Linked DNA regions of Macaca fascicularis. The protein of the gene in region 1 purifies or fractionates together with the protein of each later gene. This does not show direct contact. Links are inferred from orthologs where the notes say so. Each region holds a gene or a part of one and is shown in the gene's direction. Other genes may lie near its edges.

Region 1 (6,651 bases):
GTTTTTTTTTTTTTTTTTTTTTTGTCAGTAGAGACAGGGTTTCACCGTGTTAGCCAGGATGGTCTCGATCTCCTGACCTCGTGATCTGCCTGTCTCAGCCTCCCAAAGTGCTGGGATTACAGGCTTGAGCCACCGTGCCTGGCCCCGCAAATTTTATTTATTTAGAAATTTGTTTATCTCAGGTAATAAAAATATTTTTTTTCTTTCAGATGCTGGCTCGTGATTTCTTAGATGAATATATCTTCTTGGCTGTAGGAAGAGTTGGCTCTACCTCTGAAAACATCACACAGAAAGTAGTTTGGGTGGAAGAATCAGACAAACGGTCATTTCTGCTTGACCTCCTAAATGCAACAGGTAACATTTTGATTTTTTTTTTTTTTTTTTTTGAGACAGAGTCTCGCTCTGTTGCCCAGGCTGGAGTGCAGTGGTGCAATCTCGGCTCACTGCAAGCTCCGCCTCCTGGGTTCACGCCATTCTCCTGCTTCAGCCTCCCATGCTCCCATGTAGCTGGGACTACAGGCGCCCGCTACCGCACCCGGCTAATTTTTTGTATTTTTAGTAGAGATGGGGTTTCACCATGTTAGCCAGGATGGTCTCGATCTCCTGACCTCGTGATCTGCCCGTCTCGGGCTCCCAAAGTGCTGGGATTACAGGCCTCGTGAGCCACCGCGCCCAGCCAGCATTATGAATTTTTTATTTTTTTTTTAGAGATGGGGGTTTCTCTGTGTTGCCCAGGCTGGAGTGCAGGGGTTATTCACAGGCGCGATCCCATTACTGATCAGCATGGGAGTATTTGACCTGCTCTGTTTCTGACCTGGGCTGGTTCACCCCTCCTTAGACAACCTGGTGCTCCCTTGCTTCCGGGAGGTTATCATGTTGATCCCAAACTTAGTGTGGACACCTGATAGGCATAGTACACTACAGCCCAGAACTCGTAGACTTAGACAATCCTCCTGCCTCAGCCTCCAGAGTAGCTGGGCCTACAGGCACGTACCACTGCACCCATCTAAAATTATGAATAATTTTCATTGCTCTGGTGGTGATCCATTTGGGCTGGGTGCAGTGGTACGTGCATGTAGTCCCAGCTACTTGGCAGGCTGAGGCTGTAGTATGCCATGATTGCACCTGTGAATGGCCAGTTTACTCCCAGCCTGGGCAATATAGTGAGACCCCCCCATCTCTTAAATGTATTTGGATTACCTTTATTACTTTTCCTCCTCAATTCAAAACATGCTGTTAAAAGCCCATTTTTAAGAAGATATGTATTTTAATTGACACATGAAAATTGTGCATACATAAGTGCAAAGAGAACTAAGCCATATTAGTGACAAAAACCTATAATTTTTCAACGACAGGCAAGGATTCACTGACCTTAGTGTTTGTGGAGACCAAAAAGGGTGCAGATTCTCTGGAGGATTTCTTATACCATGAAGGATACGCATGTACCAGTATCCATGGAGACCGTTCTCAGAGGGATAGGGAAGAGGCCCTTCACCAGTTCCGCTCAGGAAAAAGCCCAATTCTAGTGGCTACAGCAGTATGTATAAACATCCTTCTTTGATTCAAGTTGAGCATGTTCAAGTATTTTTCTTTTAAGTGGGCCATATCTCATATAAGTTATTTTTCAGGTAGCAGCAAGAGGACTGGACATTTCAAATGTGAAACATGTTATCAATTTTGACTTGCCAAGTGATATTGAAGAATACGTACATCGCATTGGTCGTACAGGACGTGTAGGAAACCTTGGTAAGTATTTGATTACTTGATGATTTCATGTTTTTAGCTGTGATGCGTGCAGCAAAGAACTTGCTAGGATCTAAAATACATTTTTAACAATGAAAGTGACAAAAGATTTTGCTCAAAGCACTTGTTTAAATAATAGATTGTAATATTTTAAATATTTCTGCATAGGAAAGTAGGGTAGCAAGTTACTTTGTGGAAGACGTTTGTTTATATAGTTTTTTGGGGACTCTTTTAGGCCTGGCAACCTCATTCTTTAACGAGAGGAACATAAATATTACTAAGGATTTGTTGGATCTTCTTGTTGAAGCTAAACAAGAAGTGCCATCTTGGTTAGAAAACATGGCTTATGAACACCACTACAAGGGTAGCAGTCGTGGACGTTCTAAGAGGTGAGGTATATATGGTGTAATAGGTGTTGACTTACAGTTTCTAGTGTTTCCTCTGCATGCATGATGTCCAGCGTTAACTTCACAGTATTTAAAAAGCTGAATCATCTTAGGCTTTCTAGATTCTTTGGTAAGGGGTTGTATTAGAATGGATGACACTCCATTCTAATGTTGGGGAAAATATGGCTGGATGGGGAATTGTTTGAATGGAAAAATAGAAATTGGTCATTGGGAAGTATGTAAGAGTTAGGTTACTTCAGTGGAATTTCATCTTCATGTGAACCAACATAAATTTTTTCTTATAGTAGCAGATTTAGTGGAGGGTTTGGTGCCAGAGACTACCGACAAAGTAGTGGTGCCAGCAGTTCCAGCTTCAGCAGCAGCCGTGCAAGCAGCAGCCGCAGTGGCGGAGGTGGCCACGGTAGCAGCAGAGGATTCGGTGGAGGTAGTGTTAATCTGTAACTTCATAGCTTTGGGAAGGGTTTTTTTCCGTTTAGTCATCTTTTTCAAAGTCTAATTAAACCATTTAAGATCAGCACTATAGAAACTTGATGGCAAAGTACTTAAGGGAAGGATTGTATTTAATGATGGATAACTTCATTAATTTATCTCTCTTTTAAATCTCTCATTAGGTGGCTATGGAGGCTTTTACAACAGTGATGGATATGGAGGAAATTATAACTCCCAGGGGGTTGACTGGTGGGGTAACTGAGCCTGCTTTGCAGTAGGTCACCCTGCCAAACAAGCTAATATGGAAACCACATGTAACTTAGCCAGACTATACCTTGTGTAGCTTCAAGAACTCGCAGTACATTACCAGCTGTGATTCTCCACTGAAATTTTTTTTTTAAGGGAGCTCAAGGTCACAAGAAGAAATGAAAGTAACAATCAGCAGCCCTGTTCAGAAGGTGGTTTGAAGACTTCATTGCTGTAGTTTGGATTAACTCCCCTCCCGCCTATCCCCATCCCAAACTGCATTTATAATTTTGTGACTGAGGATCATTTGTTTGTTAATGTACTGTGCCTTTAACTTTAGACAACTTTTTATTTTGATGTCCTGTTGGCTCAGTAATGCTCAAGATATCAATTGTTTTGACAAAATAAATTTACTGAACTTGGGCTAAAATCAAACCTTGGCACACAGGTGTGATACAACTTAACAGGAATCATCGATTCATCCATAAATAATATAAGGAAAAACTTATGCGGTAGCCTGCATTAGGGCTTTTTGATACTTGCAGATTGGGGGAAAACAAACAACAAATGTCTTGAAGCATATTAATGGAATTAGTTTCTAATGTGGCAAACTGTATTAAGTTAAAGTTCTGATTTGCTCACTCTATCCTGGATAGGTATTTAGAACCTGATAGTCTTTAAGCCATTCCAGTCATGATAAGGTGATGTATGAATACATGCATACATTCAAAGCACTGTTTTCAAAGTTAATGCAAGTAAATACAGCAATTCCTCTTTCAACGTTTAGGCAGATCATTAATTAATGAGCTAGCCAAATGTGGGCATACTATTACAGGGAAAGTTTAAAGGTCTGATAACTTGAAATAGGTTTTTAGGAGAATTCATCTACTTAGACTTTTTAAATGCCTGCCATAAATGAAATTGAAATGGTAGAATGGCTGACCACAGCAATGACCAGCCCTCATTAGGGCCTTGGATGATTTTTGGTCTAATAACGCATGCTAGTGTTGATGTTTTTTGGTCAAGAGGGTATGAACAGGAAGAATTAAATGCAGCAGGCTTTATTTTAAATGCCGATTCACATTACTCTGTTCAAGCTGCGTTGAGATGTTAAACTGGCTTACTATAGACTTTGTAAAATGGCTCCAGAAGAGTAACAAACTGAAATCTTTGAGATCACACAGGTTGGAAATATGTACATAACTGCACAAGGTGTCAATTCTGCTCTACAGTGCAGTTTTAGTCAGTTTTAGTTGCATAGGTTTCCATTGTATTTATAGTCTGTTTATGCTAAATCTGGCCAAAGATGAGCATTGTCCACCACTAAAATGCCTCTGCCACTTTGAATTCTGTGCTAATTTTGTGGCCAGAATGCAGTGATGAAAACGCTCCATCTTTTTACAGTGGCATAGGAAGACGGCAAAAATTTCCTAAAGTGCAATAGATTTTCAAGTGTATTGTGCCTTGTTCTAAAACTTTTATTAAGTAGGTGCACTTGACAGTATTGAGGTCATTTGTTATGGTGCTATTTCAATTAGTCTAGGTTTAGGCCCTTGTACATTTTGCCCATAACTTTTTACAAAGTACTTCTTTTATTGCACATTCAGAGAATTTTATATATATGTCTTGTGTGCGTGTCCTTAAACTTCCAATCTTACTTTGTCTCTTGGAGATTGTTGAACGCAGCTTGTCTAGGAAGGGGATGGGACTAGATTCTAAAATTTATTTGGGACCATGGGAATGATAGTTGAGAAGAAAACTATTTGCACACGACAGATTTCTAGATACTTTTTGCTGCTAGTTTTATGTAATATTTATTGAACATTTTGACAAATATTTATTTTTGTAAGCCTAAAAGTGATTCTTTGAAAGTTTAAAGAAACTTGACCAAAAGACAGTACAAAAACACTGGCACTTGAATGTTGAATGTCACCGTATGCGTGAAATTATATATTTCGGGGTAGTGTGAGCTTTTAATGTTAAGTCATATTAAACTCTTAAGTCAAATTAAGCAGACCCGGCGTTGGCAGTGTAGCCATAACTTTCTGATGTTAGTAAAAACAAAATTGGCGACTTGAAATTAAATCATGCCAAGGTTTTGATACACTTGTCTTAAGATATTAATGAAACACTTCAAAACACTGATGTGAAGTGTCCAGAATCTCAGATGTTTGTTGTGTGAATTTTGTTTAGTTGTGTGTTTTTTTTTGTTTGTTTTTTTTTTCAGTGAATGTCTGGCACATTGCAATCCTCAAACATGTGGTTATCTTTGTTGTATTGGCATAATCAGTGACTTGTACATTCAGCAATAGCATTTGAGCAAGTTTTATCAGCAAGCAATATTTTCAGTTAATAAGGTTTCAAAAATCATGTAAGGATTTAAACTTGCTGAATGTAAAGATTGAACCTCAAGTCACTGTAGCTTTAGTAATTGCTTATTGTATTAGTTTAGATGCTAGCACTGCATGTGCTGTGCATATTCTGATTTTATTAAAATAAAAAGTTGAACTGCACAGTCTCCTTTGTTGTTGTCAATTGTGGTTTATTTTCAGAGGTGAAAATAAAGTGCTCTTGCCTGAAAAATTGTAAAATGTTATTTTTTTGGTTGTCATCCAGTGCTGTTTTTTGAGATGCCTCTTGGATACAGAATGACTCTCATAAGTATTTGCAATGAAAGATGAAGATGTTAGCTTGAAATACAGTGAAACAGAATTTTTGTAATAGATGGAAATCTAAAAGGCCCTTACTGATGTACAGCATGTACTAGAAATTGGCTTATACTTCCCAACAATTTTACATGGGTGAGAGTCTCACCGTTCTTTGAAGTATCCGATATGAAGGATGGTTGAACAGTGGAAGAATGAGCAGGATAAAAGTCAAGTGTGTCAGTAGTCCAAGTAATGGTAAGTATGTACTTAGGGAAGGAATCAAGAATGTATTTGGGCCAGGTGTGATGATTGCATGGTCCTATGGTGAGTGCTAGCTTACTCGGAACCTGAGGGGCAGGAGGATTCCTTGAGCCCAGGAGTTAAAGTCCAGCCTGGGCAACATAGCAAGACCTTACCTCTACAAAGAAAAGAAAAAAAACAGGTAATAGACATCTATGCTTACCATACACACTGCTGCAACAGGCTGCTACCTCAAGTGCATAGGTGTTTGATTAGTTGTCGTACTAGCAGTTTGGTATGTTTCAACCTCTAAGGAATATGTGTATTCAGCTTTTGTTTCACTGTAGTTGAAGGTTTGCAGTATGATTTAAGAATTTTTTGCACTGTAAGGAAGTACAGTTCTGGATAGTTAACCTTTGTCCAGTCATGAACTCAAGCCTAAGTTTTTGGAGCAGAATTTTGAAACATGGCCATGTGTATTTTGAAGATAGAAAAGATGATCATACTTCGGTCTCAATTTAGTCAAACATGGAAAGGTTTAGGATGGCTAGATTGAATAGTCAATGGCTGAAAATGACTCGTGAAGTTGGATGCTAAAGAAGAGTTCAAGTTCCCCTTCATGTGAATGATGAGGAGTGAACATGACAATCAGCTTGGGGGAACTGCCAGAATTTGAGATTATTTCTAGTCTAGCATGGTTAGGATTATGGTGACAAATTCAGTACGTTTATATACTACATTAATCTGGTTTAATTACACTTAAATGCAGTTGTCACTCCTGTGCACTGTTTGTGTTTCCTGGATTCTTGGCTGAATTTCAAGATTTTTAAAATGGCTTTATAGGAGCTATGTCTAACCTTCATGCTTAAAATGTTTCCCTTGCTCCTATGCTCTAAGTGACCTGCTTGAATGGCCACAGGCTTGCTCTTTGGAGTTCA
Region 2 (6,651 bases), on another chromosome or scaffold:
GTGGCGCGTGCCTGTAATCCCAGCTACTCAGGAGGCTGAGGCAGGAGAATTGCTTGAACCCAGGAGTCAGAGGTTGCAGTGAGCCGAGATCACACCACTGCACTCCAACCTGGGTGACAGAGCAAAACTCCATCTCAAAGAAAAAAAAAAAAAGAGTTTATATTCTGAGCCTGAAGCCTGCGGTCTTAAAAAGCTTACAAAATCATTCTCGTGAGGAATCCAGACGATTGAAAAGGGACAGCTGCCTTCCTGTGTGATTGAACTGAATGTCGGGTACTATCTTGAGTTATCCTGGAGCAGCTGCCCCACTCCCCCGCTTATGTGTTCCACACCAGGGAGACCCACTTTAGGAGAGGGCGGTTCTTTGAAGGAAGGACCTGTGGTGTTTGCCTCTCCACATCTCCCCACAGCGCTGCGCACATTGTCAGTGACTCTTTGTTGCATGGTGAGTGACCATGCCACGCTTTTGCAGACCTCCTGACAGTGAGTGAGACTGCCAATGAGCCCCCTCAAGATGAAGGTAATTCCTTCAATTCACCCCGCAACCTGGCCATGGAGGCAACCTACATCAACCACAATTTCTCCCAGCAGTGCTTGAGAATGGTGAGGAAACAAGTCTCTGGGCGTTGATTCATTCTTATTTAACCAGCTGCTACTTGTGGAGCATCTGCTTTTTGCTAGGCTCTTGGGTTGTGGGACTGAGCAGGACAGACCCAGTCCCCACCTTTAGCAGGGGAGTTACATGCCTGGGCTTGGGGGTCAGGCTGTCTGACTTTGAACAAAGTTCCTGTCCTTACAGAATTTCATGATAGTGGAGGAGAAAACATAGTGAACCATAAATAATAAATTGATTTACATCAAATGGTGATTTGTGCCATGGCAAAAAATGAAGTAGAGATGGGCATGGTTACGAACTCGTTTTCATTCATCAGGTGCTAACAGTTAGGAGGGGTCAAGTAGGCATAAAACAGGCAGCGAGCTCACAGCCCCATCAAGGGCCCCAGGAACCTGGCCAGAGCTGCAACTAAGCAGAGGTGCTGGGTCTGACTGATTGGCCTTGGCCTTGTCAACAAAGTTAGCTCTGTCTTGTGACACCTTTGTTTTTGCAGGGGAAGGAAAGATACAACTTCCCCAACCCAAACCCGTTTGTAGAGGACGACATGGATAAGAATGAAATCGCCTCTGTTGCTTACCGGTAGGTCACTCTCTGGTGGGTATTGTGACCAGATTGGAGCATGGGCCCCACTCTGTCGAATCCCCAGTGACCACGTGAGTTTCTCCTTCGCTGCAGTTACCGCAGGTGGAAGCTTGGAGACGATATTGACCTTATTGTCCGTTGTGAGCACGATGGCGTCATGACTGGAGCCAACGGGGAAGTGTCCTTCATCAACATCAAGACACTGAATGAGTGGGATTCCAGGGTGAGCCGCCATCTCCATCACCCTCCTGGTGACACCATGTCTCTGTTCCCTACAGTGCCTGTTTACGCAGGCTAGGTTGTGTAAACTGTTTCTTATCCCTTTTCATTACTTATAGAGCTACCTGGATTTTTTTTGTCTTGTGAGTTTTTTCCTCTGCTTAGTTCCTTGCCGAGAAAGAGCATGACTGTGTGTGTAGAACTATGTTAAGTGTTAAGGACTTTTCTGCTTATTATTTACACAGGAACCATTTAACTCCCTTCTTCCAGTACTTCATCTCTGTTCCATTGTGGCCTCCTGTTGGCTTCTGCTCTCTGAGCATCTGATTTTTTCCTCTCCTTATTATCTGGGTTGGCAGTTTCCTGTAAGTCTGGCCGCTCTTCTTTTTGACCTCTTCTTTCATTGACTGAGCCACTGCCTTCAGTCTTTTCATACCTTTTTTCCAATTCCTCATTTCCTGAACTCATGGATTCTACGATCTGGCTTGGAATTGATGCTTCAGAGGCACCTTGAAAGAAACATGCTTCCTTCACTTTTCCTCCACTTTCCATTTCCACCCCACCCCCACCCACATCACCTGTTGGAGGAGCACACTGGGAGGCTTGCTGTGACCTCCCTCTGGGGCCAGTGGCCTTTTCTTGGACTTTTCCCGGTGAGCTCCCCAAAGCATTCGGGGTCGTTGCACCTGTGTTGCTTTGCCCTCTGTGTTACCGCGTTACTCTGGTCTCACCCATTTCCCTGTTCCCTTCACATGTTGTCTTTGCTGGCTCCCCTCCTTTTTGACCCATGGAGTCACCTAGACAGCTCTCTTCGCCACACGTACTTCTTTATTATACAACTTTGTGTTAGTTATCTTTTGCTCCATAACAAATTAACAGAAACTTAGTGACTTAACAATACCGATTAATATATTTTATTTTTATTTTTTATTTTTTATTTTTTGAGACAGAGTTTTGCTCTTGTTGTCTAGGCTGGAGTGCAATGGGGCGATCTCGGCTCACCGCAACCTCTGCCTCCAGGGTTCAAACGATTCTCCTGCCTCAGCCTCCCGAGTAGCTGGGATTACAGGCATGCGCCACCACGCCCAGCTAATTTTGTATTTTTAGTAGAGACGGGGTTTCTCCATGTTGGTTAGACTGGTCTCGAACTCCTGGCCTCAGGCGATCCGCCTGCCTCGGCCTCCCAAAGTGCTGGGATTACAGGCATGAGCCATGGCACCCAGCCTAACAATATTGATTTATTAGCTCACATTTTTGTAGGTTAGAAGTCCAGTGCTGTGTGCTTGGTCTTTGTATTGGTCCATTCTCGCACTGCTGCAAAGAAATGCCTGAGAGTGGGTAATTTCTAAAGAAGGGAGATATAATTGGCTCACAGTTCTGCAGGCTCTACAGGAAGCGTGACTGAGGAGGCCTCAGGAAACTTGCAATGGTGGCAGAAAGCAAAGGAGAAGCAGGCACATCTGACATGGCCAGAGTAGGAGAAAGAGAGGGGGAAGTTGCTATACACTTTTAAACAACCAGATCTCTTGAGAACTCTGTATCACAAGAATAGCGCCAAAGGGGAAAATCCACCCCCATGATCCAGTCACCTCCCACCATGCTCCTCCTCCAACATTGGGGTTTACCACTTGACATGTGATTTGGGTGGGACACAAATCCAAACAAGGCAGAAATCACAGTGTCAATAGAAACAGGACTGAGTTCTCATCTGGAGGTTCTGAAAGCCATTTCCAAGCCCATTTTCATTGTGGGTAGAGTTCATTTCCCTGCAGTTAGATGACAGAGGCCCCCATCCCCCTGCCAGCTGTCAGCTGGGAGCCTCTCTCAGCTCCTAGAGGCCACCTGCATTCCTTGTCACATGGCCCCCTCCATCTCCAAGCTAGCAACAGCACAGCAGATCCTTCTCGTGCTTCAAATTTCTGACTTCCTCTGTCTCTGATCTCTACACCTAGATTTGAGAGACTCATATGGTTGGGTGAGGCCCAGCCCCAGGTAGTGTATATTAAGGTTAACTGATTGGGGGCCTTACATCTGCAAAATCCCTTTTGACATACAAGGTAGCATAATCATGGGGGTGATATTTGATCCTAGCCATAGGTTCTGCCTGCAGTCAAGGGGAGGAGACTCTGCAAGGGCAAGGGTCACTGGGGATCATCTTAGAATTCTGCCCACCCCAGGCCTCAACCATGAACTCTTTGAAAATGATTTCTCAAATCTACTCTGATTTATTACACTTCCCATTGTTTTTCTGCTAAAACACCTTCCCCTTCCGTGTGCCCCCCGTCCTGTCATTGCCTCTGGGCCAGCTGTCCCTCAGCATTGTCTTTCTCCCACCTAAGCTCTGAGCCTCTAATATCTCCAACTCCTTTTTTACATTTGCTATTAGCAAAATAGAAGGCTTTGCTGTCTTCTGACTCAGTCCTGGATTTCGCTGATACCAAGCCAATACACAGCTTCATCAGCAGTGCAGACTGGGAGAAGGACTCTAACGTGCCCCAGCAAGCTGCACACAGTAGTGCGCACCTGTAATCCCAGCTGCTCAGGAGGCTGAGATGGGAGGATCGCTTGGGTTCAGGAGTTCAAATCCTGAACTCACCAGCTTGGGCAACATAGTGAGACCCCCCATCTCAAAAAAAGCAAACGCACAGCGGTGCTGCAGGATAGCTTAAATTTTTTAGGGAAACACCAGAGACGTCTTGTCGGAATACTACTACATGGTTTGAACCTAACTAAATAAAAGGAATTACTGGCCAGCCACTGTGGCTCACGCCTGTAATCCTAGCACTCTGGGAGGCCGAAGCGGGCGGATCACCTGAGGTCAGGAGTTCGAGAGCAGCCTGGCCAACGTGGCGAAACCCCCCCTCTACCAAAAATATAAAAATTAGCTGGACGTGGTGGCGGGCACCTGTAATCCCAGCTACTAGGGAGGCTGAGGTAGGAGAATCGCTTGAACCTGGGAGGTGGAGGTTGTGGTGAGCTGAGATCACGCCACTGCACTCCAGCCTGGGCGACAAGAGCAAAACTCCTTCTCAAAAAAAAAAAAAAAAAAAAAAAAAGGAATTCCTGAGTATTTCTTTTGCCCTGTGGTTGCCATGAACCAAGAAAGTTTGGGAACCTCTGTCATGTGACCTTTGACCAGTCATTTCACTCTGGGTCCATCTTCCCACGTCTGTAAATGATATGGGTAGAAAAGAGGATCTCTTTGGGGTCCTTTTCTGCTGTGTGCATTTATGTAAAATGTCAGACTCAGCTTTGCCCCCACTGCAGGCTTCCACCCCCATCTAAGGCCAACTCCGCCTGTCTTTCCTATCCCACCATGCCTCTCAGATCAGGAGCTCCTGTCTGTACCTGCACTTGTGCCAATATTCTCCACTTGGCTCACTGTTACACATCCTCTGTGAAGCCCTTCCTTACCATGCAACACACAGTAGACACTTGCCTCTGCTGTTTAAAGTGTGTGTGTGTGTGTGTCCATGTCCATCATTCCCTGGCTAGGTGAGCTTTTAGAAGAGAAGAGCTGTAAGTCATTGAGTGCCAGCTTGCGGCAGGCTGTGCAAGGGAAGGGAGCGTGTCTTTGTCTCTTAAATGGTAAGATTTAGTGCATACCTACCCACTTTCTAAGCAGGCAGACTGGGGAGTTCCTTCTCTGCCAGAGGAGGTCCCAGCACCTTGGGCATTTAGAGCTTGCTTCTGCTTCTCTAACGGGGCTCTCCTGCAGCACTGTAACGGCGTTGACTGGCGTCAGAAGCTGGACTCTCAGCGAGGGGCCGTCATTGCCACGGAGCTGAAGAACAACAGCTACAAGTTGGCCCGGTGGACCTGCTGTGCTTTGCTGGCTGGATCTGAATACCTCAAGCTTGGGTGAGAGGCCTGTGCGGGAACTGGCAGCTGATCTTGTGAAAGGAAGGGTCTGGGTAGGGAGGTTGGCCCTCCCCTCCCCGTGTACTGGACTGGCAGAGATAAATCCAGGGATGGGGTAGAGATGGAGGGATCAGTTAGGAGACAGATGCCAAACAGCAGGCATGCTGAATGGAGTCCTGAACTAGGGCAATGATGTCAGTGAAATCCAGAACTGAACACTCAGAAGACGGAGTTTTCCCTTTCCCTTGAAAATAGCAGTGGACCAGGTATCACCATTTAATGGACATTTGATGCCAAGTGTTGCTGTCTCTGTGCCACCTGCTCTGACCACTGATATCCCTTCCTCTGTTAGTTATGTGTCTCGGTACCACGTGAAAGACTCCTCACGCCACGTCATCCTGGGCACCCAGCAGTTCAAGCCTAATGAATTTGCCAGCCAGATCAACCTGAGCGTGGAGAATGCCTGGGGCATTCTACGCTGCGTCATCGACATCTGCATGAAGCTGGAGGAGGGCAAATACCTCATCCTCAAGGACCCCAACAAGCAGGTCATCCGTGTCTACAGCCTCCCTGATGGCACCTTCAGCTCTGATGAAGACGAGGAGGAAGAGGAGGAGGAAGAAGAGGAAGAAGAAGGTGTGTAGCAACCCACTTTCTGAGGTCTAGAGTGATCTGTGGGCTAGCACGGGAGCAAGTTCTATAGCCATTGTGATCTTTAACCTTGATAAAACTTTGAGAATTCCGAGACTTAAGTATGAAGCAGCATTCACTTTGCCTCCAAGAGCTTCTTCCAGAGCCTTTAGATCACATCAAGTGGTTGGGGAGGATAGCGGTGTTTTAGAGAAGTGGCTGGACTGTGGCAGAGGTAGAGAAAGATGAGGGAAGTCCTGGATGGAAGCCCATGGTCTAGAGGGAAAAGCTGCGCTCTGGGTTAAATAGCTTGAAAGTTGTCTCTCCAGCTCCACCAGCTGGTGACTGAAGGAAGTACCTGCCCGGCCCTGTGAGGATCTAAAAGGCTTCACTTCTGAATGGAAGTGTTGAAAACTCACACGCAGTCCAGCAGAGGTTCAGAAAGGAAAGTGAACGCCATATCACACAACCTGGCTTATTTCTCTTACATTTTTTGTGTCTTTCAGAGGAAGAAACTTAAACCAGTGATGTGGAGCTGGAGTTTATCCTTCCACCGAGACTATGAGGGCCTTTGACGCTTAGTGGAATGTGTATCTAACTTGCTCTCTGACGTTTAGCAGATGAAATAAAATATACGTCTGTTTAGTCTCTCCTTCATCGTCTATCTGCATTAACGATTTACAGCCCTTTTTTCAAAGATTCCTGGCAGAGTGGGGATGAGATTCAGCAATTTCTATGTGGAA
Region 3 (6,751 bases), on another chromosome or scaffold:
GTGTGGTGGCGCACACCTGTACTCCCAGCTACTCAGGAGATTGAGGTGGTAGAATCGCTTGAACACGGGAGGTGGAGGTTGCAGTGAGCTGAGATGGTGCCACTGCACTTCAGCCTGGGTGACAGAGAGAGACCATAGCTCAAAAAAAAAAAAAAAAGATAAAATGTCATCCTCACATCAGCCTTTTGTTGTGAAAAATAAAATCAAGAATTTACTCAAAGCAGTCAGAACAGTGCCTGACAGTAAGTCTTGTTAAAGTGTTAGCTATCATATATTATAGATGAGCACAATGTATATCATTATTAAATGTCAGCTTTATTATTATTATTTGTTTTGAGACAGAGTCTTCCTCTGTCGCCCAGGCTGGAGTGCAATGGCACGTCTTGGCTCACTGCAACCTCCGCCTACTGGGTTTAAGCGATTCTCCCGTCTCAAAGCGATTCTCCCATCTCATCCTCATGAGTAGTTGCGATTACAGGTGCGTGCCACCATGCCCGGCTAATTTTTGTGTTTTTAGTAGAGACGGAGTTTCACCACATTGGCCAGGTTGGTCTCAAACTCCTGACCTCATGATCTGCCCGCCTCGGCCTCCCAAAGTGCTGGGATTACAGGTGTGAGCCACCGCGCCCGGTCAGCTTTATTATTAAATGTTAGCTTCATCTGCTTTGTACACTAATGCATACCCAGTGCCCAGAACAGTGCCTGGAACATACTAGGTGCTAAATAAATATTTGTGACTTAATGCATGAATGAGGGTGGACTTCCTTTCTTTTGCTCTCACTGGAGAGTTGAACTCTCCTTCCAACGCGGGTGGGGTGGATATTGGCGTATTCAGGGCCATCAGGGCTGAAGTCAAGGGCTTAGTGGGGCTTAATTTGCTGGGGGGGGGGGGCCCAGGACATGGCCCTCATTGTTTCTCTAGAAGGAAAGGTCCAACCCTCAAAAGACCTTCCGGAATCCCGCTGAAAGTTAAGTTGGGAAGGAAAACCTGCATGCGTATGTATCAGGAATTAACGTCTTTTGTCTTGCTTTGTTCAGTAGTTTCAAATTGCCTTCTCCAGGCAAGGCTGATGAAAGTGCAAGTTGCAAGTTAATTTGAATTTTTCTTTCTGCTTTTGCTCTCACAGGAAGTGGAAAGGCAACCAAACACTCTAGCATTCATGCCACCAAAAAGAGGTTTTGCAGTTACAAGACCTGGATTCGAATCACGACTCCTCCTAGCTGCCCTGTAATCAGGCACAATTACTTGGGTCTCTGAGTCTCACTTTTCTTATGTACAGAACGGAGATATGTTTACCTCCTTCGTAAGACTGATGAGAAGGAAATTATCTGTGCATTTTGAAACCACTTAAGCCTTGTACACGTTTTATTTCTGGGATCGCCACTGGTTCCCTGGTAGGGCTTCAGAAAAATAAAAAGGAGGTCCCTGAGCAAAGGCTGGGGGGCCCTTCATCTGAGGCCAACCCTCTCTTGTCCCAAGGATGGCCTGGACTGCTCCGCCCCGCGGCTCCCCAGGGGCAAAGCCGCGAGGGTCCGGGTGAGAGCCCAGTGCTGGACCAGCTCGGCGCTCAGGGGTTCCGGCCGAAATCCCTGCTGTCTTTCAGGTCAAACGTCATAATTCCCGAACCTCAGAAAGGCCGAAAAGCAAGGCAACCCCGAAAGACGACGAAGTCAACACCAGGGCGCAGGGCCAGTGTGCTGACGACGAGGGAGGCTGGAGCCGCGGGGACAAGGCGCCCCATACAGCGGCAAGAGGGCGGAGGGCAGGAGCTCGCCGTCCTGGGTGAAAGCGGGGCCCAGCGAAGAGGCCCGGCCACAGGAATGTCGGTTCCACCCCGCGACTCCCGGCGGTGACTCCAGTTTTGTCCCCAGCCGCCCGGCCCCGCCCCGCCCCGCCCCCAGCGGGCACTCAGGCCGTACCACTGTGCCTTCATGGGGGTGGAGTTAGATCGTGGGCTAGTCCTGCCGAGGAGAGAGGGGTTCTTCCCCAAAAAATATCATTATGTATAGTATTTGCATGATTCTAGTTAGCTCGTTTCCCATCTGCATGCTCGGAACCTCTACCTGCGCTAGGAAGGGGGCGGAGCGCTTTCCTTCCTCCCCCTGCTCTTCCGCGTTTGGTGCGCGCCTGCGCGGTGCGTAGGCGGCGGGACGTACTTAAGCTTCGACGCAGGAGGCGGGGCTGCTCAGTCCTCCAGGCGTCGGTGCTCTGCGTTGTTGGAATCTTGTTGCTTGCTTGGCTGTGCGCGCGTGCGCCGACATGGCCTCAAACGGTAGGTAAGGGCGCGAGGCGGCGGCGGCGGCGGCGGCGCACCGGGCCGAGGCCTCCCACCTAGGCTTTTCATTTTAGGTGGGACCGGGGTGGCGATCCTGTGTGGGATTCTTTCGTGCCCCTGTGGCGGGAAACCGCGGAGAGGGGTAACTGGAGGAGGCTGGTGTCGCCATTTTGTTTCGCTCCTCTGGCCCTCGCGCGCGGGGCGGCAAGTCTTCTCTTCGCAGTCCGTTTGCTTGGGGTGGTCGTTGGGAGGGACGCTTCTTAGGGGTTTGAAGCATCAGGTGAGGGTGGAAAATGCCCGGTTTCCGTGGCCTCGCCTCCCCCAACTCCCGGCCCCGCGCTCAGGCCCGCTTTGTCGCAGTGCTGCATCCGGGCACTCGCGGCGCGCACGCGCTCTGCGGGCCCCTCCCCCTTCGCGGCGCGGGTACCCCTTCCCCGCCTCGTGTCGGTTCAGCTTTTTGTCGCGAGACCCTTCGCGGAAGACTTGGCGGCGCGCGTCCGGTGTGAGCCTTGTTCCTCTGTGGTCTTTCGCGAAGGGGCGGGACCGCTCCATTCCCGCCTCGGTTGCCACGCGGCTGGGGGCGGAGGCTCGGTATCTGGGCCGCGCTCCGGCTTAACGGTTTGGAGGAGGTGGTCGTGGTTCCACCAACGGACTCGGGGACCTGGCCCGAGAGTTTTTCCCGCCCCAATTTTTTTTTTTTTTTGAGTCAAGATCTCCCTCTGTCGCCCAGGCTGGAGTGCAGTGGTGCGATCTCAGCTTGCTGCAATGTCCGCCTCCTGGGTTCAAGTGATTCTCCTGCCTCAGCCTCCTTAGTAGTTGGGATTACAGGCGCCTGCCACCACAGCCCGGCTAATCTTTGTGTTTTTTAGTAGAGACGGGGTTTCACCATGTTGGTCAGGCCCGTCTCGAATTGCTGGCCTCAGGTGATCCGCCCTCCTCGGCCTCCCAAAGTGTCGGGATTACAGGCGTGAGCTTCCACGCCTGGTCTAAATTTCTTTTTTCTGAGATTGGGACGGAGAATAACAGCCGTCGAGGCCACACCCTCTCCTGGTCCTTTCCCTTTTCCTGCGGGGGAAGCGCCGCGTTTCCTGCGCTGGGAGGATGAGTTGATCTTGTTCGTGTATTTAAAGTGGGGCGTTTCAAAAGGGCTTTCGTTGCTTTTGGTTCGCCCAGGGGAAGGCAGGGTAGATGAGAAAACAGAACCATCTGGAGCCCCACGGCTGGGGACTCGAGTACCTGTTGACTTTGGCCTCTTAAGGCGAGCACTTGGATGATCTCTGTCATTTGGGGTCCAAGGGCTCTTGATTCTCTGGCTTTGCACTAAAAAGGCCACTTCTTCTCCGGAATTGGTCAAAGAGTGCAGAATGGCCTTTTTTGAGACATTCTTCTGTGGGTCTGGGCTGAGAGAGTAGAGGCCACAATCTGAACACTGCTCGAATTCAGACCTGTGCTACTTGGTAGCTCTACGACTTTGGGCGAGTTAGTCTGTTTTGACTCCTGGCAATAATGGCTTTGTTATAGAGTGGAAGAAGCGAATGCGCGATGTTTTAGAGCAATCACTGACATGAATTGGTCTTGCAGAAAGTTGTGGCTGTCCACCAAGACCTTGGTTTTTCCAACGGTTAAGGCTTCTGGGACTCTGTAGAAACTTGCATTTTCTTCACTTTTTCTTTTTTGTAAGAACACTTGGCTGATAGGCCAGTTTGCTACTCTTCTCAACCAGTGTCTCAATGGGGGAATTTTATGCCCTTTATTGAAACGTGATGCTTTTTTTTTTTTTTTTTTTTTTGAGACGGAGTCTCGCTCTGTCGCCCACGCTGGAGTGCAGTGGCGCGATCTGCAACCTCTGTCTCACGGGTTCAAGCGATTCTTCTGCTTCAGCCTCCCAAATAGCTGGGATTACAGGCGTGCGCCACCATACCCGGCTAATTTTTTGTATTTTTATTAGCGATGGGGCTTCATGTTGGTTGGAATTCCTGACCCCAAGTGATCCATCCACCTCGGCCTCCCAAAGTGCTGGGATTATAGGCGTGGGCCACCGCACCTGGCCTGTGTGGTCCTATTTATTCATCAGTGCTTGAGTTAAGGAATTTAGCTTTAATTCAACTGTTTCAGAGTGGCGGCTGAAGATAATGTGATTGTATTTTTTTTTTTTTGCAGATTATACCCAACAAGCAACCCAAAGGTGAGTGCTGTTTTTGGGCTTCCAGAGTTTGTAGAGGGGAAGGGTGGTCAAGCTGTGTTTTCTGATCACGCTGGTTTTCCTTTCATCTAGCTATGGGGCCTACCCCACCCAGCCTGGGCAGGGCTATTCCCAGCAGAGCAGTCAGCCCTACGGACAGCAGAGTTACAGCGGTTACAGCCAGTCCACGGACACTTCAGGCTATGGCCAGAGCAGCTATTCTTCTTACGGCCAGAGCCAGAGCAGTGAGTCTTTCTCAGCAGGTCACCTCTTCCTGCTCTTTCTGAATATTGCTTTTCTTTTTTTTCTTTTTCTTTGGGAGACGGAGTCTCATCCTGTTGCCCAGGCTGGAGTGCAATGGTGCTATCTCAGCTCACTGCAACATCCGCCTCCCGGGTTCAAACAATTCCCCTGCCTCAGCCTCCTGAGTAGCTGCGATTACAGGCACCTGCTACCACGCCCTACTGATTTTTGTATTTTTAGTAGAGATGGGGTTTCACCATGTTCGATAGGCTGGTCTAGAACTCCTGACCTTGTGATCCACCTGCGTCAGTCTCCCAAAGTGCTGGGATTACAGTTGTGAGCCATCACGCCCTGAATGTCCCTTTTCTTAAACCTGAGCAGGACTGAAGTGTTGAAACTCTTCCATATTTCTTTTCCCTAAATGAGTGTATAATTCTTAAAACTCTTTGGGATCTGAGTCCTTTACAGGGCATTGTGGCACACCTGTAGTCCCAGCTACTGAGGAGTCTGAGGCAGGAGGATTCCTTGAGTTCAGGAGTTTGGGGCTGCAGTGAGCTATGATAGTGACTGAACAGCGACTGCATTCCAGCCTGGGCAGTGTATTGCGGCCCCATCTCAAAAAACAAAAATGTTTTTTGGTTTGTGATTCTGTTTACATTTGTTTTCTTTGGCTTTTAATTTTTATGACTCTCATTTCCCATCTCAGCATGAAAGAGCATATTTTCTAACGGGAGAACCAGTTTTAGGCCAATTCTTAAATGGAGAAAATGGTTATGCTTGAAACAAATGTATGAAATCATGTGATACATAAGGAGGTGGGATTGCCCCAAGGTCCTGAAGTGTAACTAAGAAAGGTGGTTGTCCTGTACGTAACTGCATGCACAGCTGCATATCACAGTGCTGTTAACAGGAATCCTTGGGCTTGGGATTAGAGGGTGTTGGGGTTGGCGGGGTTAAATTGGAACTGTCTTAGAGAGGATAGAAGTTGGAGCATTAACTTTGGGCTTTGAAAGGAGGGTAACTATGAGTTGCAAGATTATGAACAGCTTCTGAAAGGCTGACTTTTTGAGTATAGGTATTAGGTTGTATATGTTTTAACACATTTCTTACATTTTCTTTTTCCTGGTGGCTTTTGTGACTTCTTTTTTCTTGTAGCAGGCTATGGAACTCAGTCAGCTCCCCAGGGATATGGCTCGACTGGCGGCTATGGCAGTAGCCAGAGCTCCCAATCTTCTTATGGGCAGCAGTCCTCCTACCCTGGCTATGGCCAGCAGCCAACTCCCAGCAGCACCTCGGGAAGGTACGGTGGTGTCGATGTCGGGGAAGGCTTGAAAAGAGGGGTGAATTGATGAGGAATGATAAAGGGACCAGCAGCAGTAGGAGCAGTTTAGAGGTATAATTGGGGTAGGGGAGCCTGTGTTGAGTACAGAGAATGGAATCCACTAAAAGGAAATTGGGGGGCTATGCTGGGATTGTGATTGTGTTTTTTGTTTGTTTTCCTTAGTTACGGTAGCAGTTCTCAGACCAGCAGCTATGGGCAGCCCCCGAGTGGGGGCTACGGCCAGCAGCCTAGCTATGGTGGACAGCAGCAAAGCTATGGACAGCAGCAAAGCTATAATCCCCCTCAGGGCTATGGACAGCAGAACCAGTACAACAGCAGCAGCAGTGGTAGTGGAGGTGGAGGTGAGATGTCCTCAGCTTTGTCTGCAGCCCATTTTCTATAAGGATTTGTATTCTGTTTTAGCCTAAAAGGGTTCCTGTTTTATTTCCTAGCTGTCTTTTTAATTTCTTTTGTACTTCATTGCCTGGCACTTGTCATACCTTTTTGTGCTACTTTACAATTTTTTTTTTAAACCATCCTTTTTTTTCTCACAGGTAGCTATGGCCAAGATCAATCCTCCATGAGTGGTGGTAGTGGTGGCGGCGGCGGCGGTGGCGGCGGCGGCAGTGGTGGTGGTGGTGGTGGTTATGGCAATCAAGACCAGAGTGGTGGAGGCGGCGGTGGCTACGGACAGCAGGACCGTGGAGGCCGTGGCAGGGGCGGCAGCAG

The links.
Region 2: the proteins of DDX3X (region 1) and EIF3D fractionate together in Homo sapiens (co-fractionation; 3 studies listed by BioGRID and IntAct, with this or other methods). This does not show direct contact. The link is inferred for Macaca fascicularis from reciprocal best matches to the Homo sapiens genes DDX3X and EIF3D.
Region 3: the proteins of DDX3X (region 1) and FUS purify together in Homo sapiens (affinity purification with mass spectrometry; 3 studies listed by BioGRID and IntAct, with this or other methods). This does not show direct contact. The link is inferred for Macaca fascicularis from reciprocal best matches to the Homo sapiens genes DDX3X and FUS.

The regions. Positions count from the first base shown.
Region 1 is NC_088395.1:41,346,614-41,353,264, forward strand, and holds the end of DDX3X (ATP-dependent RNA helicase DDX3X), read left to right. Parts: intron 1-209; coding exon 210-354; intron 355-1,355; coding exon 1,356-1,537; intron 1,538-1,628; coding exon 1,629-1,746; intron 1,747-1,978; coding exon 1,979-2,132; intron 2,133-2,434; coding exon 2,435-2,574; intron 2,575-2,761; coding exon 2,762-2,841; 3' UTR 2,842-5,343; downstream 5,344-6,651. UniProt on the Homo sapiens protein: Multifunctional ATP-dependent RNA helicase. The ATPase activity can be stimulated by various ribo-and deoxynucleic acids indicative for a relaxed substrate specificity.
Region 2 is NC_088384.1:15,145,363-15,152,013, forward strand, and holds the end of EIF3D (eukaryotic translation initiation factor 3 subunit D), read left to right. Parts: intron 1-472; coding exon 473-603; intron 604-1,109; coding exon 1,110-1,195; intron 1,196-1,291; coding exon 1,292-1,421; intron 1,422-5,135; coding exon 5,136-5,278; intron 5,279-5,630; coding exon 5,631-5,914; intron 5,915-6,414; coding exon 6,415-6,428; 3' UTR 6,429-6,560; downstream 6,561-6,651. UniProt on the Homo sapiens protein: mRNA cap-binding component of the eukaryotic translation initiation factor 3 (eIF-3) complex, a complex required for several steps in the initiation of protein synthesis of a specialized repertoire of mRNAs.
Region 3 is NC_088394.1:29,366,319-29,373,069, forward strand, and holds the start of FUS (RNA-binding protein FUS), read left to right. Parts: upstream 1-2,184; 5' UTR 2,185-2,260; coding exon 2,261-2,273; intron 2,274-4,436; coding exon 4,437-4,461; intron 4,462-4,551; coding exon 4,552-4,721; intron 4,722-5,856; coding exon of another isoform or gene 5,857-5,859; coding exon 5,860-6,001; intron 6,002-6,205; coding exon 6,206-6,384; intron 6,385-6,576; coding exon 6,577-6,751. UniProt on the Homo sapiens protein: DNA/RNA-binding protein that plays a role in various cellular processes such as transcription regulation, RNA splicing, RNA transport, DNA repair and damage response. Binds to ssRNA containing the consensus sequence 5'-AGGUAA-3'.